Stegostoma tigrinum: one gene and its partner. The protein of the gene in region 2 purifies or fractionates together with the protein of the main gene of each other region. This does not show direct contact. Links are inferred from orthologs where the notes say so. Each region holds a gene or a part of one and is shown on either strand. Other genes may lie near its edges. The genes, in order: elmo1 and dock1.

What was found.
Region 1: the proteins of dock1 (region 2) and elmo1 purify together in Homo sapiens (affinity purification with western blotting; 12 studies listed by BioGRID and IntAct, counting the BioPlex papers as one, with this or other methods). This does not show direct contact. The link is inferred for Stegostoma tigrinum from reciprocal best matches to the Homo sapiens genes DOCK1 and ELMO1.

The regions. Positions count from the first base shown.
Region 1 is NC_081355.1:27,439,819-27,456,575, reverse strand, and holds the start of elmo1 (engulfment and cell motility protein 1), read right to left. Parts: upstream 5,936-16,757; 5' UTR 5,805-5,935; intron 5,797-5,804; exon of another isoform or gene 5,676-5,796; intron 1-5,675. UniProt on the Homo sapiens protein: Involved in cytoskeletal rearrangements required for phagocytosis of apoptotic cells and cell motility. Acts in association with DOCK1 and CRK. Was initially proposed to be required in complex with DOCK1 to activate Rac Rho small GTPases.
Region 2 is NC_081373.1:32,522,958-32,539,527, reverse strand, and holds the start of dock1 (dedicator of cytokinesis protein 1), read right to left. Parts: upstream 6,814-16,570; 5' UTR 6,432-6,813; coding exon 6,389-6,431; intron 1-6,388. UniProt on the Homo sapiens protein: Involved in cytoskeletal rearrangements required for phagocytosis of apoptotic cells and cell motility. Along with DOCK1, mediates CRK/CRKL regulation of epithelial and endothelial cell spreading and migration on type IV collagen.

The DNA of each region.
Region 1 (16,757 bases), on a different chromosome or scaffold from region 2:
GAAACTTAACTAAGCACAACTTATGCTACACTACAGAAGGGACAAATTTCCTGCTCATGTCCGTGCATGGACACAGAGTTACTCTTTACGTATTTAGTTAATCATCTACCTACTTGGATAAGAATGAGTTAAAGAGGGCCAAGATATGAACAATGAGTAAAGACACTTTCACAAGTCGGGAACACCATGCAGGAATGAAACATAGTGTATGCTTACAGCCTATAAAGCATGCTTGCATTGACCATGATGCAAAATGTGACACCCTGCATCTGCTGCAAACAGACTTTCAAAACCTGCTCAGTCATATCAAGTGATGATTCTTGGAGGAGGTTCTTCACTAACATTGAATGTGTCTGAAACTTTGACATGACAAGGATGAGTAATTTGACAGCTTGGCCTGATCGTCCCACCCTTTCCAGGGGTTTGGCGATTCACGTAACTGAATTCGAGTAAAAAAATCTCTCAAATTCTACCTCCTTGGAAAGGTTTTACAATACTTAAAAATCATTTTGAAAGTTGCCAAAATGTAAAGAGAACAAGTTATACCACAGCACATCTCACAGAAGCATCACTACCATCAGCACCTCTTGATGCTAAACTGATTCTTGCTTTCTTTCTCCTAATTGCTCATTTCAATATAAATGACAAAACTTTTCTCAAAATGCCATTGTCCTTGTGTAGTCCTGCAAAAGGAGTTTACATGGCACAGCTCCAACTACATCTAAAATGAATAAACCTTCACTTGCACATTATTTCCTGCACTTGTTTCTTATTTGATCTGTTCAGCGGGTGCTGCCTGGAAATCAGAAATGGTTCTGATCACTTCCTGAGCTCACCCTGAACAACGCATTTTTCAGATTGGTTTAAAAATAACCTGTAAGTGAGATCTCAAAAGCCAAGCTGCTTGTGCTTACACTGTACCTGAACCTCTGTCAGCAGCACTGTGGCTCACAAAAGCAACTCAAAATAAACTGGGCGTATGGTTTAAACTCAGTTCTTTGTAAACCCACCTGAACATAAATCCTCAGACAAGGACACAATCAAGCCAGATTACCCAAAACAGGTGCATAAGTGTGACTCAAATTAATTTCAAACCATCAAGACCTGCAGGTTAGAACTTGGGAGACTAGTACAAACAAGGACACGTGCACCTGCTCTGGGAAAGGGATTTTTGGAAGTGTTTAGAACAGCACGTTTACAGAATCATCCACAGCTCAGTGATTTATGCAAACAATCTCCCGCACTTCTGCCCTCACCCCTTCCCTTCCCCGCCACAACAACTGGGGTCCCACTGGTCCTCACTTACTACCTCACCAGCCTCCACATCCCAAGGATCGTAAGCTACCACTCCTGTCATATCCAACAGAATGCTACCACCAGACGTATACTCCTTTCCCCTCCCTTGACAACATTCCACAGGGACCATTCCCTCCAGGATATCCTAGTCTACTCCTCCTCCATTCCCAACAGCCCCTCACACTCCCACAGCTCTTTCCCATGTGGTTGCAGAAAGTATTCTTACATAAAATCTCAAAACTGAGAATTTAAATTTTCTTAGCTTCAAATAACCTGCAGTTTTTTGACCAAACTCTCAAGGTTTTGAAGCTGCACAAATTAAACTTTTGCTCAGGCAACTTATTCCTTGACCCACTCTAAAAAAACTCCTTTCTAGAAGAGAAACTATACTTGCTTCTGACCCTTGTCAGTTATCATCTGAACTACCCTGAACCTTAAATCTTTGGGTTTGCTGAAGTAATATCAATCCTCAATTATTCTGAATTGAATCAAGCCTGTGGCCTTCTGCACTTACTCCACCTCAAATCCAATCATAGAAATATCTTCTTCTATTAACATTCCATGGGTTCACAGTCATATGCTCTCTGACACATTCTGGGTTAGGTCACTGTTCCAGAAGTATTTTCTGATCATTTAAAAAAAACCTTCTCAAACATACCAACACACATTTATACTATTCAGAAATCCAAACCCTAAAAATGATATTTATAAGAGATCTCACACTTTTCATCACAATTCCTGTACTCAATCCCTCTATAGACCCCTCTATCTGCATTCCCTCCATTCTGGCCTATTCTGTAATCTCACATCTCTTGTCCAACTGCTGCCTAGGCTTTGAGCGCTAGATTTCTTTTCATAACCTCAATGCATGCCTCCTCCACGTTCAGATATTCATTACATCATTTTTTTTAAACCAAACCTGTTATAATATCTCCTTGATTTTGGCTCAGTGTCAAATTATGTCTGACATTTTGGCACAGGGTCTTGTATGCTGATACTTCAGGGATGCTTTAGAGGTGCATTTCTCTTATTAGCAACACATGAAAGCCAATTCTTGAAAACTGATGAAACGAAGGTACCATTCAAGACCTGAGAAGCCTTGTTCCATTCTGCTGTGCCTGGCACATAAAACATACGCACTATTTCTTAAAATAAAAGTTAAGGTATTCACTTGAAATATTTGCACTTTGCTTGTAAAATTTAACTTGTACTCTTATCAGCTATTCATATTTATTTAATACTGACTCTATAATGAAAAGCGATTGTAAGGCACATCACATAATTGGGAGAGGAATGGATGTCAAACCTTTGGTTAAGGTTCAGAAGGTAAAGGATTGGTCAAAGGTCGTAAGTCTGAGTCAACTTTTGAAGATGGAGATGAGGGTAAGGAGACAGAATGGTGACGCAGCCTTAAAGAATGTGAGCAGTACTTGCTTAGAAAAATAAACGTGCACAAGCTCTCTTGCACCAGGCACGACAGAAATTATTTCATATGCCCTTAAATGAAGAAGTTGAGAAGTCAAAGAAAAGTAAGATTTTCCCAACAGTGACAGTTGCCCCTTTTAAAAGGAAGGACTCTGCTTAGAAGAATGGTCCTCTTTAAGTAGGGTCTTCACATTGTGGAATTAAACTCAATTCCATTATGGCAACTTCTATTGTATAGTACGTTTCACAACCTCAAGGCATCCTAAAGCATTTTAATGTTTGTGATATATTTTTCAAGTGTAGTCATTGTTGTAATGCAATAAACACAGCTGTCAATTTCCAAACACATAGAGTAGGTCACTTGTCCCATCATTCAACACAGTCATGGTTGAAATGCTATTAACTATATTCCAGCACACCTCCAAGAATCTTTCATTCCCTTGGTAATCAGAGTTTATCTACATCTGCCTTAAAAATATTTAAACATTCTGCATCCACTGCTTTTTGAGGAAGGGAATTCCAAAGACTCACAACCCTCAAAGAACAAATCAGTTCCTTATCTGTGTCTTAAATAGGCAACCCCTTAATTTAAACTACACCCCGGAAGTAGATTCTCCCAGGAAAGGAAGCATCCCTTCAACATCTGCCCAGGCAAGTCCTCTCAGGGTCGTATATGTTTCAGTTAAGCCATCTCTGACTCTTCTAAACACTGAAAGATACAGGCCTAGCCGTTCTTCAGAAAGCAATAATGAAATAGAATGATGCAATGATTACATAATCTATTTCCATGGCCACAGACCTGAAACGTTAACTGTTCCTTTCTCCACAGCTGCTGCCAGACCAGATGACAATTTCTCGCATTTTCTGTCATTATTTTCTGATTTCCAAAGGCAGCAGAGTAAAAACAAAATCAATTCATCTAGCTCTGTACTAACCAAAATTGTCTCACAAACAGAATCCTATTGCTTCCGATTAAAAAACTAATCACTCCTGGACAAAACGTTCATAGTTAACTCTGTATCAAAACAGAAATGATAAGCAAGGAGTGAAAGGCAGCACACCTGGTCTCAGAGTACCCAAGTGCCCAGTGCTGGTTGTTCTGACACAGCCTGGTTCCTAATAAGATCAGCTCCTTCCAGAGCAAGTAAAAGGGTAACAGCTGATGGGTGTCAGGTAGAAGATTGTCTGGGAAAAGGCTTCCCTTCAAACACGAGACGGAGTTAACAGGAGTCAACTTCATCATCCACTTCCAAATTAAATACGCCCAGTACAAATAATTCTTATCAGCATGACAGTGAGAACAGGATTGGTGCTACTCACTTCAACACCTCAAGCAGAACAAACATCCATGAACTGTAGGTTCACAGCAACATTAAAATTTGCCTTAACTGGTTTAACCAAAACTTCAAAGTCATCAACTGTTACTACAACCATATAGTTTAGAAGACTTGGATTGGCACTGAAACAAAGATTTTACACAATTCCTTTAACAAAATAAGACATCCTGAGACACTTCACATGAACTTAATGAATGTGAGCACTGAACACAATACAATATCAGGGCATTACAGCCAAAATCTTTGTCAAACTGATAAGGCTTCTTAAAAGGACAGAAAGATAGAAGCATACAGAGGGAACTGCAAAGGTTACTCATGAATTAGCTGAAAGGCAAAGTTTAGCAACGGTGGAGTAATTAAGATTGGGGTTGTTCAAGAGACCAAAACAAGATACAAGCACCTGTGACCTCTTAAGGTTAGAGGTCCTTCTCTTCACCCTCAGCCCTCGTCCAATTAATAGAACTTCCCTTCAAATGCAATTGAAACCTGTTTAAAAGTGACAATAAGTCACTACATTTGTCCGTTCAAGCTGAAGTGGTTGCACTTGGAGAACCAGGGCATCATTTTGCTTCTCTTTTCAATGAATTTGTTTGTCAATGAAAAGGGTCTATTTCAAGGAGGTCAGTGTTAAGTTTACGGGCCTACTTTTTAAAAAACCCAACCTGGTTTTCAAAAAACTGACAAGCAATAAATGTTTCCTGCAACATCTGACTACAGTTTGCACTCGTCTTTTATAGCGTTGCAAGTTGCTGGAGTTAACAATTCTTTCGGGAAAATGTGTTTTCAAGATAACGGTCGCGCTTCAGTGTGTTTGAGGGAAATGTTGGATTTTTTTTTAAAAACGGAGAAATGTTTTGGGTGTAGGTCATCCTTTCAGTGCCGAGCAGGGATTATCATGCTTTCCGACTCCAGCGGGGAGCAGGCCGCTGTTGCACAAAAGAGAAGCTGACGGGACAGGCAGCGTGAAGCTTCCAAACAGGAGCTGGCACGAATTTAACGTGAAGCCAAAACTGTGCTCCCTGGTGTTTGCAATGACCGGGCTGGCTGGGTCCGGTGAGGCACTCAGACTACTCGCCGGGGCGGGACTACGGGTGAGCAAGGCTCCAAACCCAACAGCTCAGCCCCTATCGCCCAGGCACCGGCCGCTTTTCCTGCACCATTTTGCTGGGTGGGCTACTTGTACCGGTGTGTGTGTGTGTGAGAGAGAGAGATGTGCCATTTCCTTCCTGCTGAGGCAGCATTTACGAAGCACAGTCTCAACATTTTTGAAAAAAAAAGCACCGCGCAGAGTCGAGGGGTTGACTCCAGTGTGTCAGAGTCACGCCGCTAACCTCGGGCCCGCTGTCTTTTTAAAGCCCCAGGCTCCGACTCCAGCATTAGCTGCGGCCGTCATGTAACGCCGGATCACACATTGAGAAAGAGAGAGTGAGAGAGCTGGGGATCTCGCACTGGGACTGTCGGCAACTGGTGATGAGAAAGTGGGCCCCAGCTGCATATTGGAACTACAGTGACTAGAATTCACCGGCAAAGCAGAGCGGGGGTGGGCTATGCGCAGAGCACCATTCAAACAAATACAAACATAGAGGGGGTGGGAGGAGAGTCAAAAAGCATTCCAACCTGCTTTCCTGTTTACTATCGTTACTAACAATACATGTCCCTCTTCTTGCTGGGGTTGTGAGCGCCTTGGCTTTTTATCATTAATGGCTCGATCTCAAAGAGGATTGAGAGAGAGCGGCAGTGACTGACCTGGCTGCTCTTGCCTTTTCCACCGTCTCAGCCCCAGCGGCCGGGCGCTCGGTGCCGACTTGTCACTTCACACACCCGCGCCTCCTGCTGGCGAGCAGAACCGGACCTTCAAGTCAAAACCCTCGTCAATAAGTTTCTCGTTTCAACATTTAAGAAGCACTTTTATTTTCCAAACAAGAGATGTGATTAAATGCAGTATTCATCACTACGTTAGGCAACCTTTTCTCGCCCTGGTAATACGTCCCTGGATTATCAAAGCATCGTTGCATCCATTTGTGAAAAGGACGCTGGACTGCTGGGTTAATAGTGAGGGTTCTGCAACTTCTGGGCCGGTCCCGTACCTCAGCCCCTGTAACAGTATTCTAAATTATCTGCTAGAGTAAGTAATATTGTCTTGGACATGCGTAGCCACAATGACGGTATGAAGTTTGTCATATTTTGTGGTATTTCCCTTTTATTGCATTGGGACCATTGTGTTTCTCAAAAGTTTTCTAGCCTTTCCATCTTCATGTACATCTTATACAAGTTGATGTATTCTCTTATAAAAGCAAAATCCTGGAAATAGTGGAAATCTAAAACAAAAATGCCGAAAATACTCAGCGGTTCAGGCAGCTTGAAGAAGCAGAGTTAATATTTCAGGTTAAGATGTCTCTTTGTGATGAATGTTTGCAATCTGATATTATTTGAAACCGGCCTTTCTAAAGTGAACGGAACCATGTATAAGTTAGATCTGCATTTCTACATTGTGTGGGTTGAGAAGGGAGGGACTTCGTTTCACTTTTGAATTCTATGAGAGGTACCAGGATATCCGGATATTTGTTATACTAGGTTTTAAATTAAAAAAAACCCGAGTCCAGTGCTTTAGAAAAACAAGTATAAAAGAAAGGGAGAACAGGCAGTTGACTACCCTATGATATATGAGGAAAGAGAAACAGATTATTTTCAGAAAGGTGGAACCGTCCAGGAGGTAAATGAATGTGCAGGTATCTTTCAGAGAAAAACAAGTCGCTCAGGGAGAAAGAACCTGTACAATTAGCAGTGAAATCTAGCAGTCTTTCGAATAGCCAGAAATGGACAAAAAAAGCTTGACTTGTTCGATGTAAGAACGAGAATTTCCAGAAACACGGAGCTATGGAAGAGGAGTTTAAATAATCCATCTAGAGAAATAAGAGATCTGACTCCTGAAGTAACATTAAATAAAGAAGATAGTTTGAAATGAAAGTTGAAGTTCACTGAAACAAAGTCAAGAGCAGTTGTGCCAATGGTACAAGGATCATTAAAGCGAGATTTCAATATTTGAAAGATTATTGTTAATGGTAAAAGAGTTGAATTTTTTTGATATTTGTAATAAGACCATTTCAAATATTTCTTATATCATGTAAAATTGTGTACTTGTGTGTAATAAGTTTAATGTCCTTTTGTTAAAAGTACATTGGCAGCCTCTTGTGAATATTATCAGTGTCATATTCAGTGCCTGAACAAGATGATAACCAAATTATAAAAGTAAAACTATGGTCTATTACGTCAGATTGCACTCTAGAGTTTGACTTGTCCAGTATTACCATTAGCTGGGATCATATCACTTTCAGTAAAGCTGTTTTGATGAAATGTCATCTCAATACAAGACAGTAACTGTCACCATCCCCAAGGCCCCATAGGTGCACTGACGGCAACTCCAAACTCCCTAAGCCACTCTGACAGCAATCGACAGGCCTGGAGACACACACACAAATACTGCTGAAGGTCTTGAGCCATGCTGACAGCAAACCCTGAGGGCTAGAACCATTCTCACACCAGTAGGTGAGAACTTGAGCTACATTAACACCAATTCCAAATGCTGGAGCCACATTGACAGCAATCGATAAGGCCCAGAGCTGCACTGATAAAAATTTCTGAGGCCCAAAGCTGCAGTGAGAGCAAGGCAGGGATTCATGCACCACAGCTACTTATCCGCCAAGCTGGATCTCCTAACAAAGGCTGGTTTTGTCCCGCTTTTGATGCTCATGATAGGCTCACTAGTGCACTTATCAACAGTGAATGCAGACCAGAAAGATCCTGTGATTGAACGAGCATGACAGAGTCAAATTTTTGGTCAGAGGGACGGCTCCTGACAAATTTTGTCTCTCACATATAGGGACATTTTTCATGAACGGTAGTCAAGGGGGTGTGGCTGCCTGAGCTCAGGGCATTGGCTCCAATCATTTATATCGCATGTAGTTCCTCATTCTGGGCCTGGACAGAAACCAGATCTCATGTAACTTTTGGGGCCATATGCGATATCTTCCTTTTGTCAATTTTCATGAATTGAATTCTGCCAACACATATCAACAATTTGTATTTATCAAGCCTCTTTAAGGAAGTAAAACATCCCAAAGTATCTTACTGAATTATTGTCAGACAACATTTGATTTTAAATTCCATCACACAAGTGGATATTCAGACAAGATTTGGTCAATGGATCAGGCAAAAGCTATTCTTAAAAACAACTAGGCAGTAATTCTAAAGAGTGATAATGGGAACTGCAGATGCTGGAGAATCCAAGATAACAAAGTGTGGAGCTGGATGAACACAGCAGGCCAAGCAGCATCTCAGGAGCACAAAAGCTGACGTTTCGGGTTTTCCTCAGAGGAAGGATCTAGGCCCGAAACGTCAGTTTTTGTGCTCCTGAGATGCTGCTTGGCCTGCTGTGTTCATCCAGCTCCACACTTTGTTATCTGTAATTCTAAAGACTTGTGCTACAGAATTAGTTGTCATCCTTGCCAAGCTGTTCTGGTATAGCTAGAATGGTGCACCTACCCAGAAATATTGAAAATTGCTCACTGTGACAGCCTTTAGTCCAAAAGCTGTAACTGTACGGGAAATATATATTATCATTGAAATGCCAACAGTTTCTGTAATTGTTTTCAAGAAGGTTTGAAAATTACTGTTCGAAATATGCAGCAATTGTAGATGGATTAACTACAGAATTCTTGGATAATAAAAAACACTGGATGATATGATATGGTGACCCTTGACTGAGAAGCTGTCCAACCAACAGGAATAAGTTAAGATACAAGAGCCATGTGTTCGAAGACAGCAAAGAGAGACGATGAATCTACAGCTGTAAAGATGACCTGTAGATAGAAGTCATGGAGTTATACAGTGCAGAAACAAACTCTTCAATCCAACTGACCTGCGCCAACCAGACATCCCAAACTGGCCTAGTCCCATTTTCCAACATTTGGCCCATGTCCCCCTAAACCCTTCCTATTCATATAGCCACCCAGATGTCTTTTAAATGTTGTAATTGTACCAGCCTCTACCACTTCCTCTGGGAGCTCATACCATACAAGAGCCACCCTTTATGTGAAAAGGTTACCCCTCAGGTCGTTTTTAAATCTTTCTCCTCTCGCTATAATCCTATGCTCTCTAGTTTTGGACTCCACCACCCGAGGGAAAAGACATTCACTATACACCTATCCATGACCCTCATGATTTTATAAACCTCTATGAAGTCACCCAGCAGCCACTGATGCCCCAGGAAAAAAAAAGCCCCAGCCTATTCAGCCTCACCCGATAACTCAAACCCTCCAGAGCTGGCAAAATCCTTGTCAATATTTTCTGCACCCTTTCAAGTTTAACAACATCCTTCCTATAGAAGGGCGAGGACAATTGTATGTAGTGTTCTAAAACTGGCCTCACCAATGTCTTGTACAGCCACAACATGACATCTCAATTCCTATACTCAATCTTCTGAGCAATGAAGACAAGTGTGCCAAATGTCATCTTCAGCATCCTATACACCTGCACCCCAGGGACCTACCATTAACTGTATGAGTCCTGCTCTGATTTGCCTTACCAAAGTGCAACACCTTACCTTTATCTAAATTAAACTCCATCTGCCACACCTCTGTCTTTTGGCCCATCTGATCAAAGTCCTGTTGTACTCCACTACACCATCTATTTTGGTGTCATCTGCAAACTTATTAATCAGGCCCCCTATCTTCACATCCAAATCATTTATACACATGACAAAAAGTGGACCCAGCAGTGATCATTGTGGCACACTGCTGGTCATGGGTCTCCGGTCTGAAAAGCAACCATCTACCACCACCCTCTGTCTTTGACCTTCAAGCCAATTTTTTATCCAATTCAGCACATAGTTGTGAGTCTTGCCATATATAGGCACAATGAGTTTTGTTTCCATGACACCTTGTGAATATTCTTGCACTATCGTACCAAACTCACCTCATTAACGCCCTATCATACTTCTATGGTATGCATTGCATTCGATGTTAGACTGATTTCACTACTCGCAATAGCCAGAAGAACTCAAAGTGCGCAGATATCACAGAATACTCTGGACTCCCATGTGCCAATGTGACTTCCAACTTTCCTTGATGTTAAGTATGACTCGAACAAGGGGACCATTTAATTTAAATATAAATAGTATCAGAGGTGGCAGCATATTGGTAATGTCACTGTATTCTGTAATTCATGGAACCCAGGCTAACATTCTGGGGATGTGTTCAAAGCCTGGTACGGCAGAAGGTGCATTATGCCTTCAGTAATAATCTGGAATCAAAAGCTAACCTATTGATGACCTCTTGCCAATTGTCGTTAAAAACTCACTTGGTTTTCTGAAGAAGGGTCCCGATCCGAAATGTCAACTTTCCTGCTCCTCTGATGCCGCCTGGCCTCCAGCTCCACACTGTGTTATCTCTGACTCCAGCAACGGGAGTTCTTACTATCCCTGGTTGACTAACTTCCTTTAGGGAGCGATATCTATACAACTAAGAGCAAACAAAATATGAAGGCCTCACCAATGACTTCCACATCCCACAAAAGAAGTAACATCTCAGGGAGTATCTTAAAGTAGTTTTCTCAAGGCTGATATCAGACTGTCTTGATGTCTGGGTCTGAAGAATGGACCTATGAAAGCAGCATTCAGATATGATAAGGTTTTGAAATACGATTGTTTGCAAGGACAGCACTGAAAAAGTTCTAAAGATGGTGAAGGAGGAAAGATCATCAGTGAACATTATCAAGAAAAGGCAACAGTCAGATTGCCCAATAAAAAATGAAAGAACTGCAGATCCTGTAAATCAGGAAACAAAACAGAAATTGCTAGAAAAGCTCAGCAGGTCTGGCAGCATCTGTGAAGGGAAAAACAGAGTTAATGTTTCGGGTCCGGTGACCCTTCCTCAGATTGCTTATATTCAAAGACATGAAAGCTTGCTGAAGGAGATGATTAAATGAAGACTACAAATATCTGAACCAAGAGGGAGAAAGACAATGATGTAACAAGACTATTGAGATCGGAAAGGGAGCTAAACAAAGTATCTAGTTACATACTTCACTACCATATGTGGTACATTGCTCTGTAACAATTGTCTGCCACATTTCCTACATTATTAGAATTAACATCACTTAAAAGTACTTAATTGACCACAACACATTTCGTGATGTTCTGAGGTTGTGACAGGAGCTATATAAAGGCATGGAGCCAATTAAAATGTTGTACAGTACACTGCTGGAACCTTTGCACAAAGTTAGTGTCCAATTCAGAATCACTAATGCAAAAATAACTTCCAGTCCTGCAAGCCACCAGTGTGCACAAGTGCAAAGAGACAGTTTAATTCAAACTGCTTTTTCATTTGCAGAGCCAATGATTTCACTCTTGAAACATTTCTACCCCATTGCTTTCTTCTGTCACACATTGTGAAGTGCGTTAATATCAAGATCTATTAATTTCTAAACATTTTACTATATCACTGCAATTCCAGTAGTAACCCGTTGGCACAAAATGTAAAAATTCACAGATTAAGACTAGGCAATCAAGCAAGTTGCTATAAATCATTGATACCCATGGAACCATATCCCATGAAAGATCCACACCTGCAAAACAAGGATGCAGAGGAAAAACATTAGCAGCTCCCCTCCTGAAAAACAGATCATTTGCTCTTCAAATACACTGACAAGCTAAAAATTGCCTGATTTGCATTTTCATCATGAAACTCTTTTGACACCAGTTTCCATCTGATTAATGTTCAATAGTGATCAGCATTCTGCTGAAGGCATCAGTGAATTGGGTTGCACTACATTCACTGTGCATGAACACAGATTGTTCATCGTCATAGAGACATAAAACTATGATTACATATTTGTTAATAAATGTGCGTTAATAAATTTGTTTAAAATTATGGCTACTTCAATATGTGATGAAGTGACAAAGCAGATAACATATGCATTGAAGGCCTGGATGTATTTTGAGCTCCATTTAACCAAAAACACGAGGTATACAACAAGCTCTCAGGTTGACCTGTATTTCCATTGGCAACACCATTCCCCCAAATCTCATCTCAACTAGTAGAAACAAATCTTTGGCCCACAATCCACTTCAAGCAGTTCTAACATGAAGTAGAAGTTATCATTATTCCCGCAGTGAGACTTCTGGTTAAAATCGCAGATCAGGTCCTGATCATATTGATAGGAATTGAATGACCAGAAAGCAACAGCATGGAGGGTAACTGGTGAGACATGCATCACATTGGAACTCAGACCTGCCAAGAATTAACCTTAAAAAGTGCACATTCAAAGCTAGAGATCTGCACTAGCATGGAAGTAGGCCACAAGTTGATTCAGAGTGTTTTGTGATAAAATTCCTCAAGACAATTTTTAAGACCCAGGGCTCTCTTCCACTAATGTGTCAAAATAAGCATGTACTCAGTTGGAGGTGGGGTTGAGATCAGTGTTGTTTATGAGCACTGCAATACTACACATCCAGCCATGCGTCTGGATGTTTTGTGAACAATTATTGAATAAGTAAACTTTGGATTTTTAAAATTCTGAATTCCTGATTATTGTAAGTGCTCATTATATTATGAATGTTAAGTTTGGGGCAATATAATGGGGTGCATGGGTGTATGCTCATATTAAAGGGATTTTCAAATTGTTTTTCAGGGATATGTATTAATGAAAACTTTTGTGTCATAGTGAAGTACATAATTAACAAGATCATAAGGTGGAGGAGCAGAAGTAGGCTGTAAGACTCATTGAGCCTTTTTAACCTTTCTATGAGATCATGGCTGATCTGATATTCCTCAACTCTATTTTCATGCCTTATCCCCAAAAACCTTGATCCCCTGACTGATTAACTATATTCAAGATAGACAGATTTTTAAAGCTCCAGTCTCTATACCCATTTGTGGTAAATAATTTCACAGATTGACTACCCTCTCTGAGGAAAAAGACTCCTCATCTGCTATAATTGGGTGACCCCTTGTTCTGAAATGACGGTCTCTGGGCCTAGACTCTCCCACAAAAAGAACAACCTCTCTGCATCTATCCTCTCAAGTCCCTCAACAATCTTACATTTCAATAAGGTCCCTGTCATTCGATTAAACTCAAATAAGTACAAGCCCAACTTTCTCAGCCACCCCTCATAAGATAATCCCACCCTTCATGGAATCAATGTGGTGAACTTCCACTGAACTGCCTCCAATGCCAGTAATATTGTTCCTTAGACAAGGGTACCAAAATTGTTCACGGTATTCCAGATATGGTTTGACCAGGGCCTTCTATAGTTTTAATAAGATCTCCCTATTTTATTCTCCATTAGCTTTGAAATAAAAGTCAACAGTCCATTTGCCTTCCTCTTTATAGTGGATGCTGGCTTTTTGTGATTAATGAAAATGGATCCCAAATTCCCCAATACTGCAGCTTTCTCCAGTCTTTTCCATTTAAATAATATTCAGCTCTTCTAATGTTCCTTTCAAATGCATTTCACATTTTCCCTCATTGTCCATATCCCTCTATAAACCCTTTGTACCATTGTCATTATTTGCCTTCACAATCATTTTTGTCTCTTTACCAAACTTCATGAAAGTACATTCACTTTCATCATCCAAATCATTTATTTTGTAAATAATTGTGGTCCCATCACTAATCGCTACAGCACTTTGCTAGTCACATGTTGTCATCCTGAAAATGTCCCCTTTATTCCAACTCTTTGTTTTCTACTAATTAGCCAAACCTCTAAGCATGCTAATATATAACCCCCAACACCATAGGCTCTTAGCTTGTTAGATAGCCTTATGTGTGGTAGTTTATCAATCATCTTTTAGAAAAACTATACCACATCCACTTGTTTCCCTTTATTTACCCTGCTTGGCTAGTTTCCATTTAATGAAAGTGAAATATGAGTCAAACAATTGACTTCAGGCTTTGCAATGAAGCACACGTAGCTACAATTTTTAAATTAAGGAGAGACTTATAACCACACAGTATATTATAATGTACAAAGAACTTAGAACTCTTACCGCATAGTATGATACCATATATGATACAGAAGAATAGTGTAAAGGAGAATAGACTAATATCCATTAAAAGTCTAAATTTAGTGTGTTAGCTGTTTTAGAAAACTCTTAGGTGTCTACAGTATTTATTGTGCTATTATATGACACAAGGCATGCGTAGGTTACACACACACACACACACACACACTAGTGTGTTCAAAGTATCATGGATCGCAAATTACAGAATCAGTCCTGGTCAGTGTCACAAACAAGATAAACCAAGGTCCTGGAGTAGGGGGTGGGGTTGCAAAATACAAAAGCGGGAGGACCAAGGTCTGTCAGTCTGGTTATGTGTTTCAAGACCCTGGACTGAGACATCAAGGTTCAAGGCTGGTAGGATAAAGAAGTAGGATACGAGGGATATGTGTGGGGAGCGGTGGTGGAGGGTGGAAGGGAGGCTTCAAAGGCAAATAACAGTGAAAGAGACTACAAGAAAAACACAATTAACTGGGATCTAAGAAAACCTCAAATCACTGAAGTAACTAATTACTTGCAAATGAATGCTGTCTATCCAGGTAAAGGCTACATACCATAGCTACTTTATGGGAGTCAAATGGATACTATTGTATTGAATATCACGTAAAATGTTAAATTTAAATCTGAGATTGAGATTTAAGATGTAGTGAAAGGGGTAATAACTGTCTGGTTAAAATATTCCAGATTTGTGTATGTATAGTGGAGACAAATTAGCTGTGATTAATTGATTGATTGTCACATGTACTGAAGTACAGTGAAAAGCTTTGTTGACAGGCAGTACAGGCAGATCAAAGTTAGCCAAGGTGTACATAGATAAGCTGCAGAGCTGGGCTGAGAGGTGGCAAATGGAGTTTAATGCAGACAAGTGTGAGGTGATGCACTTTGGTAGGAGTAACTGGAAGGCAAAGTACAGGGCTAATGGTAAGATTCTTAGTAGTGTAGATGAGCAGAGAGATCTCGGTGTCCATGTACACAGATCCTTGAAAGTTGCCACCCAGGTTGACAGGGCTGTTAAGAAGGCATACAATGTTTTAGCTTTTATTAATAGAGGGATCGAGTTCCAGAACCAAGAGGTTATGGTGAAGCTGTACAAAACTCTGGTGCGGCTGCACTTGGAGTATTGTGTACAGTTCTGGTCACCGCATTATAAGAAGGATGTGGAAGCTTTGGAAAGAGTGCAGAGGAGATTTACTAGGATGTTGCCTGGTATGGAGGGAAGGTCTTACGAGGAAAGGCTGAGGGACTTGAGGCTGTTTTCATTAGAGAGAAGAAGGTTGAGAGGTGACTTAATTGAAACATATAAAATAATCAGGGGGTTAGATAGGGTGGATAGGGAGAGCCTTTTTCCTAGGATGGTGACAGCGAGCACAAGGGGGCATAGCTTTAAATTGAGGGGTGAAAGATATAGGACAGATGTCCGAGGTAGTTTCCTTACTCAGAGAGTAGTAAGGGAATGGAATTCTTTGCCTGCAACGGTAGTAGATTCGCCAACTTTAGGTACATTTAAGTCGTCATTGGACAAGCATATGGACGTACATGGAATAGTGTAGGTTAGACGGGCTTGAGATCGGTATGACATGTCGGCACAACTTCGAGGGCCAAAGGGCCTGTACTGTGCTGTAATGTTCTATGTTCTATGTTCTAAAGATCAAAAAGAACTAACAGAGGCATGCAGGTTACGTTGCACAGGGTGTGTGCTAGGCAAGATCAACATTAGCAGGATCAGCATTATTTGAGGCTAGAGAGTCCATTCATCAGTCTAGTAATTGCTGGAAAGAACTGTTCTTGAACCAGCTGGTGCGTGTATTCAGGTTCCTATATATTCTGCCTGACAGAAGAGGATGTAGGACATCATTACCCTGGTGTGATGTGTCTTTAATGATATTGGCAGCCTTTCGATGGCAGTGAGCCACGTAAACAGAGTCCATGGATGGAAGGTTGGCTTCCTTGATGGCCTGGGCTGTGCACACCATTTTCTGTAGTTTCTTATGGTCCTTGGCAGAGCAATTGCCAAACCAGGCCATTATGCACCCAGACAGTATGCTTTCAATTGTGCATCTGTTGAAGTTGGTGCGGGACTTTATGGACGTGCAAAATTTCCTGAGCCACCTGACAAAGAAGAGGTGTTGTTTTGACTGTTGCATCTAAGTGGGAAATCAAGGGGAAGTTGTTGGTTATCATCAGGCCAAGGAACTTGCCATTCTCCACCCTCTGGACCTCAGTTCCTTTGATGTAGATGGGGGCGTGTTCTTTCTGGAGTCAATGATCAGTTCTTTAGTTTTGCCGATGTTGAGAGTTTGTTCTCATTACACCACATCATCAAGCCCTCTGTCTCACCTCTGTATTTTGAATTTTCGTTGTTAGATATCTGTCCTATGATGGTGGCGTCATCAGCGAACGTGTAGATGGTGTTCATTCAGAATTTGGCAATACAGTTTGGGTGCACGGGGATTACAGTCAGGGGCTAAGGACGCATCCTTGGGGGGCTCCAGTGTTGAGTGTTATTGTGGATGAGGTGCAGTTACCTGTCTTTACTGATTATGGTCTATGGGTCAGAAAACCGAGGATCCAGTTGCAGAGGGCAGAGCCAAGATCAAGCCCAGACCTTGACTCATCAGTATGCAGAAGGTGATAACTTTTG
Region 2 (16,570 bases):
GGCTGGTTGTGTGGTGCAGTGGGGGGAGGGGATGAACTGGGCTGGTTTAGGGATGCAGTAGGGGAAGGGGAGATTTTGAAACTGGTGAAGTCCACATTGATACCATATGGCTGCAGGGTTCCCAGGCGGAATATGAGTTGCTGTTCCTGCAACCTTCGGGTGGCATCATTGTGGCAGTGCAGGAGGCCCATGATGGACATGTCATCAAGAGAATGGGAGGGGGAGTGGAAATGGTTTGCGACTGGGAGGTGCAGTTGTTTGTTGCGAACTGAGCAGAGGTGTTCTGCAAAGCGGTCCCCAAGCCTCCGCTTGGTTTCCCCAATGTAGAGGAAGCCGCACCGGGTACAGTGGATGCAGTATACCACATTGGCAGATGTGCAGGTGATAGTTCTTTAAGGACCGCAACTTTCCCCCCACGGTGATCGAGAACGCCCTTGACCGCGTCTCCCGCATTTCCCGCGACACATCCCTCACACCCCGCCCCCGCCACAACCGCCCCAAGAGGATCCCCCTCGTTCTCACACACCACCCTACCAACCTCCGGATACAACGCATTATCCTCCGACACTTCCGCCATTTACAATCCGACCCCACCACCCAAGACATTTTTCCATCCCCTCCCCTGTCTGCTTTCCGGAGAGACCACTCTCTCCGTGACTCCCTTGTTCGCTCCACACTGCCCTCCAACCCCACCACACCCGGCACCTTCCCCTGCAACCGCAGGAAATGCTACACTTGTCCCCACACCTCCTCCCTCACCCCCATCCCAGGCCCCAAGATGACATTCCACATTAAGCTAGGTTCACCTGCACATCTGCCAATGTGGTATACTGCATCCACTGTACCCGGTGCGGCTTCCTCTACATTGGGGAAACCAAGCGGAGGCTTGGGGACCGCTTTGCAGAACACCTCCGCTCGGTTCGCAACAAACAACTGCACCTCCCAGTCGCAAACCATTTCCACTCCCCCTCCCATTCTCTTGATGACATGTCCATCATGGGCCTCCTGCACTGCCACAATGATGCCACCCGAAGGTTGCAGGAACAGCAACTCATATTCCGCCTGGGAACCCTGCAGCCATATGGTATCAATGTGGACTTCACCAGTTTCAAAATCTCCCCTTCCCCTACTGCATCCTTAAACCAGCCCAGTTCATCCCCTCCCCCCACTGCACCACACAACCAGCCCAGCTCTTCCCCCCCACCCACTGCATCCCAAAACCAGTCCAACCTGTCTCTGCCTCCCTAACCGGTTCTTCCTCTCACCCATCCCTTCCTCCCACCCCAAGCCGCACCCCCAGCTACCTACTAACCTCATCCCACCTCCTTGACCTGTCCGTCTTCCCTGGACTGACCTATCCCCTCCCTACCTCCCCACCTACACCCTCTCCACCTATCTTCTTTACTCTCCATCTTCGGTCCGCCTCCCCCTCTCTCCCTATTTATTCCAGTTCCCTCCCCCCATCCCCCTCTCTGATGAAGGGTCTAGGCCCGAAACGTCAGCTTTTGTGCTCCTGAGATGCTGCTTGGCCTGCTGTGTTCATCCAGCCTCACATTTTATTAAAACTATGAAACTCTCACTTTCATCTATTTTTTAGTCTCTTCTAATCAACCTGTTCAGGAATGTTATTACACACCTCTGATGCAAGTGGGCCTTGACCTGGGCCTCCCACTCCAGGGGTAGAGACACTACCATTGCACTACAAGGGATCACTTTGGTTATTGCTCCAATATAGGCCTCAACTCCATTCCCTTAAGTCTAAGGGATGTGAATGTGAACTGACATGGCACAAAACTCGTTTAACAATTCACTGCTAGATTTGGCTGGAACATATGAGTTAGTACTGGGTCCAGCTTCTTCAGCTAAAACTGCTTACTTCCAAAGCATTTTGAATGCAAGTATAACCTCCTGGCTTCAGAATTAATGGTTATAAATCCCTTTAACTTACTTCCAACAAGTAGCAATAAGATTTTCTAAACCTTGAAAGATCATGAAAGATTGAGAACATCCAACCAGCTATCTCTGCGACTTTCCTCCCTTCCATTGCCTTCCTGGGCCTTCAAATTCCATTTATTTTCAAAAATCCTTATACATTTTGCTGCTGCTCAATCTGTGCCCACTATTCACATGGCTCCCTGCTGAAATCCTCAAACCAAGTCTTCACCCCTGCCAAGTGTGCCAAACAAAAAAAAGACCAGTCATAAATGGCATTCAACATGACTGATAAAGTAATCTACCCCTTCACTCAAAACATTAACTATTTCTCTTTCCACAGACGCCGTCAGATCTCTACGTTTCTCTAGCATTGGGTATTTGGTACAGATTTTCCGCATTAGTGGGACTTGTAGCATTTTCCCATTCCCTTTTGTCTGTTGTGAACAACCTTTGACAGTTATCCAGACCATCCTCGTCCAATATCTCTCCATCATCTAACACCATGGCTGACTCCATTCCCAGCTATCAAATTCTAGAATCAAAAGAATCTATCCTTGCACACCTTACTATTTCTCATACATCTGTCCCTTTGAGATGATCAGAAAACACCAGCAATCACTCACCTGTTACAACTCACTGGGGTAGTACTTTGGAAATCAAGCCCTGCCATTCCAAAAGTTGTCACTAGTATTAGAGGGCGTATAACATATGTAAAATTTCCCCCCAGATTACCACAGAGCAGATTTCTGTACTAAACAAGACAACTGACATATTAAAATTAATTTGACTCTAGCCACAAGTAAACAGTTATAAACCATCAGCATAATTCCAATTAAAACTCTAACACACACACACACACAGGATGGGTTCATGGGCAGAGTAAGGAGAAAACAAAGTCATCTTTGTCCCAGGTACTGTTGTTAAGATGATTCCTGATTTTCCTGCTTGCTATCAATACACTCGTCTTCTTTCTCTGATTGCTTCCACTGGTTGCCTTGTGTTCTCAACCACTCAAAGTCTGACTTACCAGTTAAAAATCACATTGTACAACAATTGTTGCAGACATCATAAATTGGTTTTCTTCAAATCTACAGCAAGAGTTTTGACTGTAAAAAAGACTACTCCCAAGTTAGGTACAAGCTGAATATTTCACTCTTGCCCTCTATCTCTCTATAACTTGTTCCTAGCTCCAAGCTGTTCAGTTACCCACAAATCAAGCTCAGTTGTTGGCAGGCCAAAAGTCTCCATCATTAACAATTGCCATTAGTCAGTCAATCAATACTGATAAGTGAGTGTCCCAAAAGTTCACAAAAACAGGAAGTTGCTCCAATTTTGGAATCAAGAACAGAAGAACAGTATGTTATTTTAATGGAGAAAAAGTGCAAAAGCCTGCAAATCAATGTGACTAGAAGGTTTTTTTTTAATGAAAGCATGTACATTGACGCAAAAAGTAGTCAGAAGGCTAATGGAATGTTGACCCTTATTTCAAGGAGTATTGGAGTACAAGAGCAGGGCAGGTTTTTTTTATTATTATCATTTCATTGAAAGCAGTACAAAGAAGGGTCACTAAGATGATCCAAGCATGGAGGGAATGTCTTATGAGCAAAAGTTACCCAAGCTTAGATGAATGAGCAGTGATCTCATTTCAACATATAGAATTCAGCACGACTTGTTTTCAAAATGGTTATTTCCCCTCATGGGAGAGTCTCAGACCAGAAGGCAGAAGGGGCATCAATTTAAGACTGAGGTGACCACAACTTTTTCTCTCAATCTTTGGAACTCCTTAACACATAGCTGTGGGAGCAGACTCCTGACGCACATTTAAGGCTGAGATAGACAGTGGGGAAATCATTGGCACAGGAAAATGTAGGAAAGTTGGATTAGCCATGAAAGGCGAAACAGGGTCGAGGACCCAAACATCCTACTCCTGTTCCAATTTCTTATGGTCTAACCGACTTCTTTTTGCCAGCAAAAGTTGCATTAGTACACTCACTCAGCTCCAAATCATCTGTAACTCTACAGTTACTGCTTGTACAAGAAGTTGTTTGCAATGATACCTGGCATGGGTATCAGGTTATTTGCTTTCCAAAATTACATCCACTCTTTCACCACTTTTAAAACAGTTCTCTCATTTCTGTCCACAGTTTAAATACAAAAAAAGTCACAAAATATAAAGACACAGTCCTTACACTTGCTAACGATACCCAAATCAGTCTCTCAATCTCTCAACTGTCAATAAATCAGAGTGCTTGCTTGTGTAACTTCTAGTAGCAGATAAGCAAAAAGATCCTCTAAGTACAAAGCCATTTTCTTCATTATAAACTTCAGTCTCCAGCTGATAATTACAGTAAAGATAATGAAAGTATGGCAGGGTTAGTGTCTACAAACTTGAGTTGCTAAAGCAGTAAAAGGAAAGCATCAAAATCACTGTATATTAATGCACTTAAGAATCTCAACAAAGCAGTTATGTTGTCAGCTCAAAAAGAAATAGAGATTTTCTTTTGATAGCCATAGGAGATGTTGCTGCATGATGAGAAAGGCTTGAATCTGAATATTGAAAGATACGTTCAAGGGTCAAAAGACAAAGTTAGAAAAAGATGATGGGGTTGCTCTGTAAATTAAGATTACTAGCATCCAGATAAATGGATAAAGCTTTTCCTTATGTTTGCACTCCCCCTTTTGCCAATTATTTAAATACATGTCCTCTACCTCTTTATCCTTTCCCCAAATGAAATTTAGCACACTCAATCTTTTCTGCCACCTTCAGTGATTTACGCATTTTTAGAAGATGCGATCTTCATTTTTTTTTTAATTGTCAAGACTAGTTTTTATTTATTATAATTTTTTTTAAATTGAATTCAAATTTCATAATCTGCCATGATGGGATTCCAGCCTGTGAACCTCAAGGCATCAGCCTAGAGCTCTGGGTTACCGGTCATTATTTCACTAATTCATGATTTAAAAAGTTTGTAACATTGCAGTAACAGAAACTTAGTACAGGATTCTGGGCAGTCATTGTGCTTTAAAGGGTATCCTTAAAATTGTTCCTCCCTTAACTGCAAATTAAAGCTGAACTAGCAACAGTGAGATATGTTATATGTACATATCGTACTTTTCAATATGCATTAGAAGACTGACGCCAAAGTAAGGACAAAAACTATAAAGTAGATTGAAAGAATAAAAAGGCAATCCGAAATACAGTATATTTTAACAAAGGACTAAAATAATGCTTGAAGTGAATGAAACATGGATTGTAGGTATGGCTAATCAATAACCAATTGGTAATAAAAAGGCTGGGATAACAAATTGTGGGGCTGGATGAACACTGCAGGCCAAGCAGCATCTTAGGAGCACAAAAGCTGACGTTTCGGGCCTCGACCCTTTATCCCCAAAACCTCAGCTTTTGTGCTCCTAAGATGCTGCTTGGCCTGCTGTGTTCATAAGATGCTGCTTGTTCATCCAGTCCCAGACTTCGTGATTTTGGCTTCTCCAGCATCTGCACATCCCATTATCTCTGATCACAGAATTAAAAAAGGCTTTTAGTTTTGAGGTAATGAACCACATTTGCAGGAAAGTCTTCATTTACGAACTGACATAAATTGGTAGGGATCTTTTCCAAAAGTTGATGAGGCCATGCTCAATCAAAGCAGTGTGTGCAATATGTCAAGTGATACGATTATAATGTGCCAATTCTCAGTACACAAAACCACTGAGGTTAGGCATGTGCACGGAAAAATGCTTATTTTACAAACATTGCAATATGTTTTTAAAACATTAGTGGTAACCCCCTAGTGATAAGTGGGTGCTGCAGCATGTTATGACACTTATGTTGCAAGTTAATCACACCTCTTCTAAACAATTTGGAAGGCTTACAGTTCAGATTACCAATACTTTATTAGTAAAAGTGAAGATTTAATAAACAGCAATTCCAATAAAAGTCGCAGCTAAGTACAGTGGATGCACTTAGCCATTATACCCGAGGTTCGACGAACTGGGAGTAACTACAGCTAACTTTGCGACATTTTAAGATATTCGCAGATTTACAGTTCAACATTTTTTAAAAAGTATTTCAAATTAGGGAGGCTGCAGTGTAGGAGTGAATTCATGGCCGTCTGTTGAACAACATCCCAAAACTAAACCACTGGGCACGGCCTTAGAACTAGGCGCGCCCCAAACCCAAACTGTTTCATTTGACGAGAGTAGAGAGAGGAAAAAGATTTCCAGGAACTATTCATCCTAATGAGTTACTGTATCGTAAAAGAAATAGTCATTTCAAAGGTTAAAGTATTTCTTGGACTGGGCTGTGGTCAGAAAAGAAGCAGATAAAGAGGCCCGTGTGTTGGGATATGCGGAATGAAAAGGAAAAAGAAACTGCAAAAAAAATTAGCATTAGTTTTAGCTGCAAGATCTTCTATTCAGGACTGGCTGGAAACAGTCACTCACTGTCACTCACCCACTCCATATTTCTCCTTTTTGCTGGGAATCCAGCGCGTCATGGTTGCGTTTAAACTTCCTTGAACTTGCGAGTGTTTTTTTTCCACCAGTTTTTCCTCATTTCTCCTGGAAACTCCAGGCCGCCATTTTCCACAGGAGGAGAGAGAAAGTTCCAGTCATGTGTCTCGAGCGTCACCGATCATCAAACTCCCAACGGTCACAGAGTTTCCCAAAAAAAACTTCCCAGCCAGTCACCGCCTCGATGTCCGAGCTCCTGCCGGTATGTTCCCCTGCCCAAAGCCTTGTTACAGAGTTACTTAGTTAGTTAGCACAGTTTATTTTTCTTCCAAGACAAACCAGCTTCCAGTGGCGCGCTACCCACACACCAGGGATTGTTCGGGAGTGTGAGACGGTTATGCAATCCGTTTTGCCTTTTGTTCGGGAAGTTTGCACTGCGCCTTTGACAATCCCACTTGCCTGTTCTTGTTACTTATCTCGAATCGTCTGCACGGCCGCAGGCCGTTCGGCCCAACCAGTCCATGCTTCACTCCAGTCCATTCCTTCCACCTTTCCTCACTTAATTCTTATACTTAAAACAACATAAGTATTCAGAATCCTGAAATTATAACAGGAAGTCCCCAGCAGTTTGGCAGATCTGTAGAAAGAGATACGTATAAGTAACATTTCAGGTCTCTGCGACCTTTCATTAAACGGAGTTTGAAACGCTGTTTTTCACTGCCGCTTCCAGATCAGCTGAGCATTTTCTGTTTGATTCAATCCAGCGCCCCTTTATTTTCTTTTAATATACTGAACCACTTTCCCTAAAATATGCCTTTAGTGCATATTCTGAAGAAGGGTCCCGACCCGAAACGCCAGCTTTCCTGCTCCACTGGTGCTGCCCGGCCTGCTAGGTTCCTTCAGCTCAACACCTTGTTACCCGACAGTATATTATTTGCTTTACACACTCCATGTGGTAGCAAGTTCCACGTTCTCGCGTCTAGGTAAACAAGTTTCTTTCAAATTGCCTTTCTTTTGGTCACTCACATGCATGACCTCGAACTCTTCCTCAAAGGTTTTGTGTCTACAAACCTTCTGAGAGTTGAGAGTCATAGTAGAGCTGTACAGCATGGAAACAGACTGCCCGGTCCAACTTGTTTTTTGTTTGAAAATAAAATACTTTATTCATAGAATATACAAAAAAAAACACATTTATACTGGGTTAGACTGCCTAGTCCAACTCATCCAGGCTAACCAGATATCCTAAATAAATCTAGACCTGTTTGGGCCATATCCCTCTAAACCCTTCCTATTCAATATGCCTTCTAAATGTTGTAACTGTGCCAGCCCCCACCACTTCCTCTAGCAGCTGATTCAATACACGCACCACTGTGTGAAAAAAAAATGCCCCTTAGATGCCTTTTAAATCTTTCCCCTCTTCATCTTAAACCTATGCCTCCAAGTTTTGGACTCATGCCCCCTGGGGAAAAGGCCTTGTCCATTCACCCTATCCGTGCCCCCGACGATTTTGTAAGGTCACTTCTGAGCCTCCGAGACCTGTTTATTAGGTCATGCTTCAGCCTTTTCCTTTCAAGAGAAAATAAATTTTCTGTTAATCCCATTATCATCAAACAAAATAACTCTTGACAATAGTAGATTTTTTTCCCCCTCAAATGGCCTAAAGCTAACAGAAAACTAAACCAAAAAAGGAAAAATTTATGAACATAAATAATACTATTCACACCCATCCACATTGCCCTCCAATACCTTGGGTGCATGCCAGAGAAAGCCTGTCGACAGATACTCCACAGCCACCTAGGTACAGATAAGCCTGAAAGAAATAGGCAGGCAACAAATGCAACTGCTCCCAAAGGAGTGCCTATTTTGTATAAAACCAAGAACTGCAGATGTTGGAAATCTGAAATCACCAAAAAAAAAAGCAGGAGTGGAGAGAAAGCAGTGTCAATATTTCAGAAGCTCAGTGGGCCATTTAGCCTATTCTTATGCATGTGTTTCTTATGTTCTTAGGAGATGAACTACTTGGATAAATATCCATCAACACAGTCTATTCTATCCATGCTCCCAACGTGGCCTCCTCTGCATCAGTGAGACCAAGTGGACATTTAGGGACCATTTTGTAGAGCATCTGCTCTGTGTACATGACAAACAACAACACCTTCTGATCAACAACAATTTTAGCTCCCACTCCCACCCGATGTCCATCTGGGCCTCCTCCAGTGTCACAGTGACACCACCTGCAAACTGAAGGATCCTATAGCTCAATACCCTAAATGTGGAATTCACCAGTTTTAAAATCTCCTCATCCTATGTCCAACCCTCCCTCTCACCCCCACTTCCTTAACCTGACACCATCCATCCATTTACTCTCCCGGCTATCTGCCCCTCCCACCTCACTGACCAATCCCCACCGCCCCCTACCTGCATTCACCTATCACCAACCTACTTACCTTGCCCAGCCCCACGCCTCCTTATTTATTTCTGAGCTCCCTTCCTCCTCCCTATTTCTGAAGAAGAGTCCTGACCCAAAACATTAACTTTCCTGCTCCTCTGATGCTGTGCTCCTCCAGTTCCACTGTCATATTGTAAAGTAAAGTAACATTTGTGAATTTTGATAATTGTGAGAATTTTAATTGTGCAGAGTGACCGGTGTGAATTTGGCATTGGCAGTTGCAAGTTTGTGTGGATTTATCTGATATATTTTAGTAAGATAGCTATGTAAAATAAATTACTAAAATGTGCTCACAAATGAATTGCTGTTTTTCTTGGTCCTAATGAGTCAGATTTTAAATGTGATTTGTATTAAATGCATTTAAGATAATTGCAAAGAACTTTAAACTTTCTCCAAGTGAGTTTTTAATATCTGGATCATTCTAGCATGGCATTGAATTAGAATCCTAAAAGGCTGAACAAATGGAAGATATCCTAGAGAAGAAGAAATGGGTAATCAACAGCAATGTAATGACAATGAAGATAAGCATCCAAGACATTGACCAAGTGTGTCAGTCAAGAGAGAATAACACACCAAAAGTCATGGAGCATGAATAGCCAGAGTGACTCCCATTGAAACCTTCCATGGTGAATGAGCTGCTTTTAGACTTCTTTTAATTGTTTAACCTATTATTGGTAATATGGCAAGTTGTCCCCACATAATGCAAAGGACAAGTGGATGTTATAGTTTTGCAGTTCTTGACGTTTTCTGCACTGGATAAATATCTAGTTATCCTTCTGAGTGGACGCATGGTAATTTTCAGTGAAACCACTTTAAAGTATCTGCATATTACATGTCAGGGGAAAAAAGCAGCAGTGAAATCATGCACTAACCTTGTATGGTGCTACAATTATGTAGCTGTTAAAGCTGCAAACAGAATGTCAAATCCAAGTCTTAGTTAGTGAAATCTACCATGATAGTCCAGCAGATTGAGAGGAGCCCTGAGGAATCTATTTGAACCTCACATCATTGGTAACCCTTTAATATTGCTGAGTGGGCAGAGACTGAAAAGTCTATGCTTAAGCAGCCTGGCAAATGGCATCTAAACTGTCAAAAAGGCCATTTGAGCAGCTTTTCTTATCATACCACGGTCATCTGAGAGACAGAACATGTGAATTGCACATTGTACATCTCCCAATATGAATGGCAATGTGCTCCCTTGAAAAACCGATGGACATAATTAAGAATTCCCTCCTGAGATGTGTGGGACTGTCACTGATTCCACTGTCACTCAAGGTGGAGTTTGATGTGGAATGATATGTGATGCCAGTCCCTGACTTAAACCTTGCATGCCATATGATGTGTCTGTGCTGTCCACAGTAAGTTGTGAATCCTTGGCTGCAATCCAGAACTTCATGCTTCAAAGATTTGTGATGGCTGAAACAATCTGCAGTTAAGAATTTGGTTGCTCATCAGAGATATGTAGCCTGGTTAGAGATGAAAAAACTGCTTTCATCCTTGATATGTTTGAAGTGGCTAATTATCTCTCACGTAAATGCCATTTGACCACGTCTAACAGTCAAAATGTCAATACCACAGCAGACATTTTAAGAGTGCAAGTGACAAATGTGCAATGTTATCTACAATAATGTGTCACCCGAGCCACCTTTGTGGCCTCAATATTTTTTTTTCCTCTCCATCCCACTTAATCTCAGTGCAGTCCCAGATTTTCTCCACTATAGGAGTAGAAGTCTGATCTTCAGTAACCCCCACTGGTCTTGACCCTTTCAGCTTAATTATGACAAAAATTTCGTACAATAAGACAAAGGAAGGAATTATGAAAATGTATGGATGGAGCAGTGAATGGTGATGCAGGAGAGATGGTGAGGTATCCTAAGTGATAAAATAGGAAGTGCCAAGATTGGAAGTATCAGCAGATTGGGAGGATGAGCCATTGAATAGATAAAATGCATACAATAGTGACAGTTGCAATCTATGTGCTGTGGTGTGATCCATGACAGATTTAGAATGAATGGCGGCCTTGTGAGTGTGAGGTAACAGTGACAAAATGCTGGCACGCACTTTTGTGAAAGACAGAAGATTATGAACATTCATCCTACTATGCAGTGTTCTATTTAACTTGGGAAACAAGTTAACTGGTGTTATTCCCTGCATCCAGGCTAGCTGGATCTGATGTCATGTTCTCCTTTGGATGCCTAACGTAAAGGAAAAGTCCTCTTCTCCCCAGCCCTGCCTATAACCAACTCCAGGTCCTTGTTCACAAAGTGGAAAGCATCAATGATCTAGACACATGCACTTAGGTTCCTTTACTCCTGCAAGTCCCTGATAGAGTTCAGCCAGTATCTGGTGGCAACCTTTGCTTGGGACAATTACTTTTACTCCCCATAATACAGTGCTATCCTCGAGAGTGACCTGGTCTCGCTGGATCAAGAAAGATTTCATTTCTGGTTGTGAGGGCCCTTTTGTTTCCCCATCATTATCAGCTGTTTTAATTTTGCCAGGACCAGATCTTTTTGCATCCACTGTCTAATACTTTCATTCCCAACAATGATGGGAAGGGTGTCCAGAAAATTTATTTTGATTGGTTCTGATTTATGTGTTACCAAGCAATTTAACTGTTCCAAGCCAGATATAGGTGGGTTTTCCAGGGCATGCACTCTCCTGGAAGTCATGTTATGAGCTCTTTTACTAAATTCAGGCCTACTGGGCTCTTTTGCTGCCTCGAGTCTGCATATCAGCAGCAATTACAGTAGCTTCCTGGCAAGGATACTGAAGAAAACATTAACCATTTGGCAAGGCTTGTCTTTGTTTTGGGATTTTGCTATGAGCCAATATAGAGTCCCTCTGTTGAAGATGTGGCCTGAATGAGGCGATGTAATTTATTTTCCTCAAGTGGTGTCCCCCAAGCTCAGTCAGCCTGGCAAGGCTGAATACTTCCACTGGCTTGCCTTGTAGCTCATATGTTCCACTTGCCACATTTTCGAATGACAAAGCTTGTTTGAGTTCCAGTTGGGCTTCAGCTAGTAGTTGCTTCTGTACAGTTACATCATTGATCCCACATACCAAATGATCATCCAGCATCTAATTAATGGTTAAACCAAAGTCACATGCCTCTGCCAGTCATCTTAACCTCGTCAAAAATGTCAAATCGTACTAAACTCAGCTGATGACAACCTCATACATCCTAGTTGCTTTGGAACAGGGCTCCCGGTGAAACCTGAATGAAATTCAAGTGTGAACATCAACAATTAGAGAGAAAGAGTAAGCAATTAAGACTGTTGTGGTGCAGTAGTAGTGTTCCTACCTCTGGACTAGCAGGCCTGGTTTCAAGTCTCACCTGCACCAGGTGTGTAGTAACAACTCTTAAAAAAGTTGAATACAAAATAAAGGATAAAAAGAGTAAGCAACTGTTCTTGCTGCTGTCAGATTTTCAGTAACTAAGGATTTTTGAACAGACAACTGAGAGCAGGTGCTTCTATGCCAACTAGAAGAAAAGGATAACAGAGTGCTAGTGAGAATGAATTCCTTTCTTCAAAGGAATAAAGATTTTTGTGAAGTGTTGGAGTTTATTATCAGAACATGGAGTGGAAGGGATTTTGTTTAGAAGGACGCTGGAAGACTTACTCTAGCAGGGCAGGGAGAAGGAAGTCTATTCATTTGCCAATAGATATGTAAGACCTAAGGCCAGTTATTGGCTGAAAACTTGCCAAAACATATTTATGTGGCAGGGGATTTCAGTTATTTTAAATAACACCTTTTCAGTGTTTAATTTGTTAGTTCCCTCCTGAGTAATATTTATTTGCTTCATAGATAGTAGGAACTGCAGATGCTGGAGAATCTGAGATAACAAGGTGTAGGGCTGGATGAACACAGCAGGCCAAGCAGCATCAGAGGAGCAGGAAGGCTGACATTTTGGTTAGTCCATTTGTTCCAGAAGAGTTTTAAAAATGAAATCTTACATGATTATTTGCCTTAGTCACTGGGAAATTTATTTTTCTTTTAAAAGTTATTGGTTTGTACAGAGGATTGTAATACCTTGATCTGTTTCCTGAGATTTAAAGAGCAGGTATATTTCAAGCTGAAACTATATAAGGTACACCATTGATGCAATCAGTCCTTATTTCTTAATTCTTCCTTCACTTCTCTCATTCAGAACCACACACATTTACTTTATTTTCTCAAGGTTTTATTTAATATGTTTGATACTTCCCTTTTTAATATTTTGAACTAATTTTGATAAACAGTCAAATAAATGTTGCTAATGATTATGATTGATAACATCGTCATTTTACTGACTTAAAGGATCCTGGAAAAATCTGGGCGCTTTGTGTTCCAAGACTGCATAATTACAAACTACTACACTTATACGAGAAGAAAAATCACCATTTTCTGAATAACTAATGATGGATAACATATATGTGGCTGTCATATCCTAACGTCAAAAAGTCCACTTGCATTGTCTACATGCCTCCTGAACACAAACCTCAAAAATATGAGATTGAGAAAGGTTGTCATATGATTCTGAGAAGACCTCACAAACAGTAACACTCCCAAATATCAGTTTGATTTATCATACCTGCCTCATAATATTGTTTGTATACATGTGTGATTAATTGTGAGTCATTTTCTACATGCTAAGAATGTGGACACAACTGGAAGGACCTGTATTTATTGTTTGTCCCTAATAATTAAGTTACCTGATAATCTACTTCAGAGACTACTGCATTTATGTGAGAATGGAATTATAGATAAGCTGTAGTGGGTAATATCAGATCTTCAGGGCATTTGCAAACAGTTTAAATTTTTGCCAATGTAGTTCCTTCCAGTTACAGTGGCCAACTGTAACTAACTGTAATACCAACCGTAAGTGATGGAGAGTAAGAATTAAGAAAAGTAGCCAATATTTTCAAAAAGGGGAATGGTAGAGGCAGGTACAATTACAACATTTAAAATACATTTGTACAGGTACATGGATAGGAACGATTAAGAGGGGTATGGGCCAAATACAGGAAAATTGGACTAGTTCATTTAGGAAACCTGGTTGGCATGGACAAGTTTGGTCGAAGAGTCTGTTTCAGTGCTGCATGACTCTATGACAGGATGTTTCACTAAAAAGCTGCCTCTTTTTATTATTCATTGTCATATTCATAATATAATCACTAAAAAAACTACAATTTAACAAAAGAAAAGGTAACCTCCACCTCCTTATAATAGCTCATAATCGGTAATAGATTTGTTATTCATACCTCTGTAGTCCTAACAATGCACCAGAAGCATCACAGTTCCACCAGTGCCAGATACCACAGCAGTGAATAGATTTAGGTCTCAGGGTGGGAATGGGAATGGAAACCCAGAAATGGTAGAGATAGAATATAGGAAAATGATGGGACAGCCTGATGGAGTTGGGAATGGGAAGTTGGTAGGCAAACTTTGGAATATGCTCTTAATCTAAAAAGGGGGACAATTATGGAACACCCTCACCACTCCACTCTTCATGCCTAAGTTCCAAACAGGGTGTTCTGCCAGGCTTCCTCCACATCCCTGAACTATAACCTAATGGACCATAATGTTGCTGTCTTGTTAGAGAGATAACTCATGATGGTTTCGTCTGAGGATTGCTGCACCTCAAGTAAAGGGATAAGTCGAAAAGGAGAGTCCTTTGTTGTAACCATAACCATTGTGGGAACTGAACCCATGCTGTTGGCAGCACTCTGCGTTCTAAACTAGCCATCCAGCCTACTGAGCCAACCCAGTCCCATTCTATACTCTGTTTGAAGAGGATTTTCGATACAGACCAGGACCTTTCCTAATATACTTTGCCAATACTTCACACTAATTTGGTTCTTCTGTAAAATTTCTAAGGACATCATCTAAAATTTGTCAGTGTAATACTGCTAAATGGAAGACCTCATGGGAGACATCAGCAGAATGTGAGTGACTGACCATGGGAATACTGAGGGAGATTCTTTGATGTAAAGAAAGAATAGGAGAAGGTGATGAGACCAAGCAGAGCAACACCATCTGCTGGAGGAGATGAGGAACAAGAGAATTCTCAAACAGAGGGCCTATCCACCCAGGATCTTCAGAAATCCCATTCAAACAACCTAATGCTACTGCATAAAGAGTCTGCACTTTTACCAAAGAGGACACCACAAAAATGTCGAACCACATTCTTAGAAAACATAGGCCTAATAATACTGTCAAGACTGCACAGCCTGCACTAATCAAAGTTACTGACGCACTTAATGCCACCCAAGTTTGTGCTGAAGAGTTAGCTTAGAACTTTTGTAAAGACTTTGTAATAATTTTGCAAAGGTATAATTTACAGTTGTTGAAGTATTACACTTGATGTTGAAGCAGTAGTAGTGAAAGTACAGAGGTCCTATCCACCCAGGATCTTCAGAAATCCCATTCAAACAACCAAATGCTACTGCATAAAGAGTTTACACTTTTACCAAAGAGGACACCACAAAGATGTGTAACCACATTGTTAGAAAACATAGGCCTAATAATATTGTCAAGACTGTGCAGCCTGCGCTAATCAAAGTTACTGAGGCACTTAATCCGACCCAAGTAGTGTACTGAAGAGTTAGCTTAGAATTTTGCACCCAGATCTTTGGACAGGCACTTGAGCCCACATGCAACTCAGAAAGAGATGTCTATTTAGAAAGATTCCCAAAGCCAACTTTCAGAAACCCAATATTCCCTAGGAGTAGCGTGCAAATTCTGATAACTCTATCTAGCCCTGTTGTGCTTTCTCGCTATTTTGCATAAATCAGTAATAGACCTAATAAGTAGGACCATTATTTACTTAATTTATTAAGTTTTCACCAACTAGCTTGACAGGCTGCATGTACACATATAATTAAGAGCAAACGAACGATGAAATCCAAAGAATTAGCTTTCATAAAACTAGTGGGAAAGCCATTTCACTCTACCTTGCCTGCTTGAAACTGACATCTACTGGAAGTGGTGTGGTAGAAATGTCCTGTACTTTCCTCATAGAATAATTTTGTAAAGATATAATTTACAGTTGTTGAAGTATTACACTCGATGTTGAAGCAGTAGTAGTGAAAGTATAGAAAGATATTGAATAACTGTGGTTCTAGTTTCTCAGGTCTGGAATGAGCCAAGTACAGTTAAGAGTCAAATCTGACTAAATTTTAAGTTTAATGTATAACCTTAGAGAAATCATAATTTTCCCTCCAATTTTCCTGGACTGTGACCAAAACATAAAACTAAAATGTAAAGTAAATGATAGTCTAAAGCAACTTCGAATGAATAAATTTTATATGCAATACCATATTTACCAATGACATTCTGGGAGATTATCCTATTTGATTTAATGGTCAGGCATATAATTGCTTCAGATCAGTAAAGTACAATCTCTATGGTTAATCTTTCACCACATTGGAATCCAGGCTACTCAGCAGACTTTCACCAATATCTTTGACATTTCTCCTCTTTTTAATGGCACATAAAAAATTATATGTGTCAAGATTGATGGTTCAGTTAACCAATTATATGGAATATTAAGTCATCAATCAGGTTTGAAACAGTGCAGAAAAATAGCAACTAATCACTGAAAAATACTTCTGATATGAACAGGAAGTACAATGCTACCAAAGGTGCTATTGTATTAATTCTGAAGACTACCCAATTCACTGCAGGCTAATGTCTTCAAATAGATGTCAGTGGACCAATAAAGTGGAAATTTGAAATATCACTGCTGAT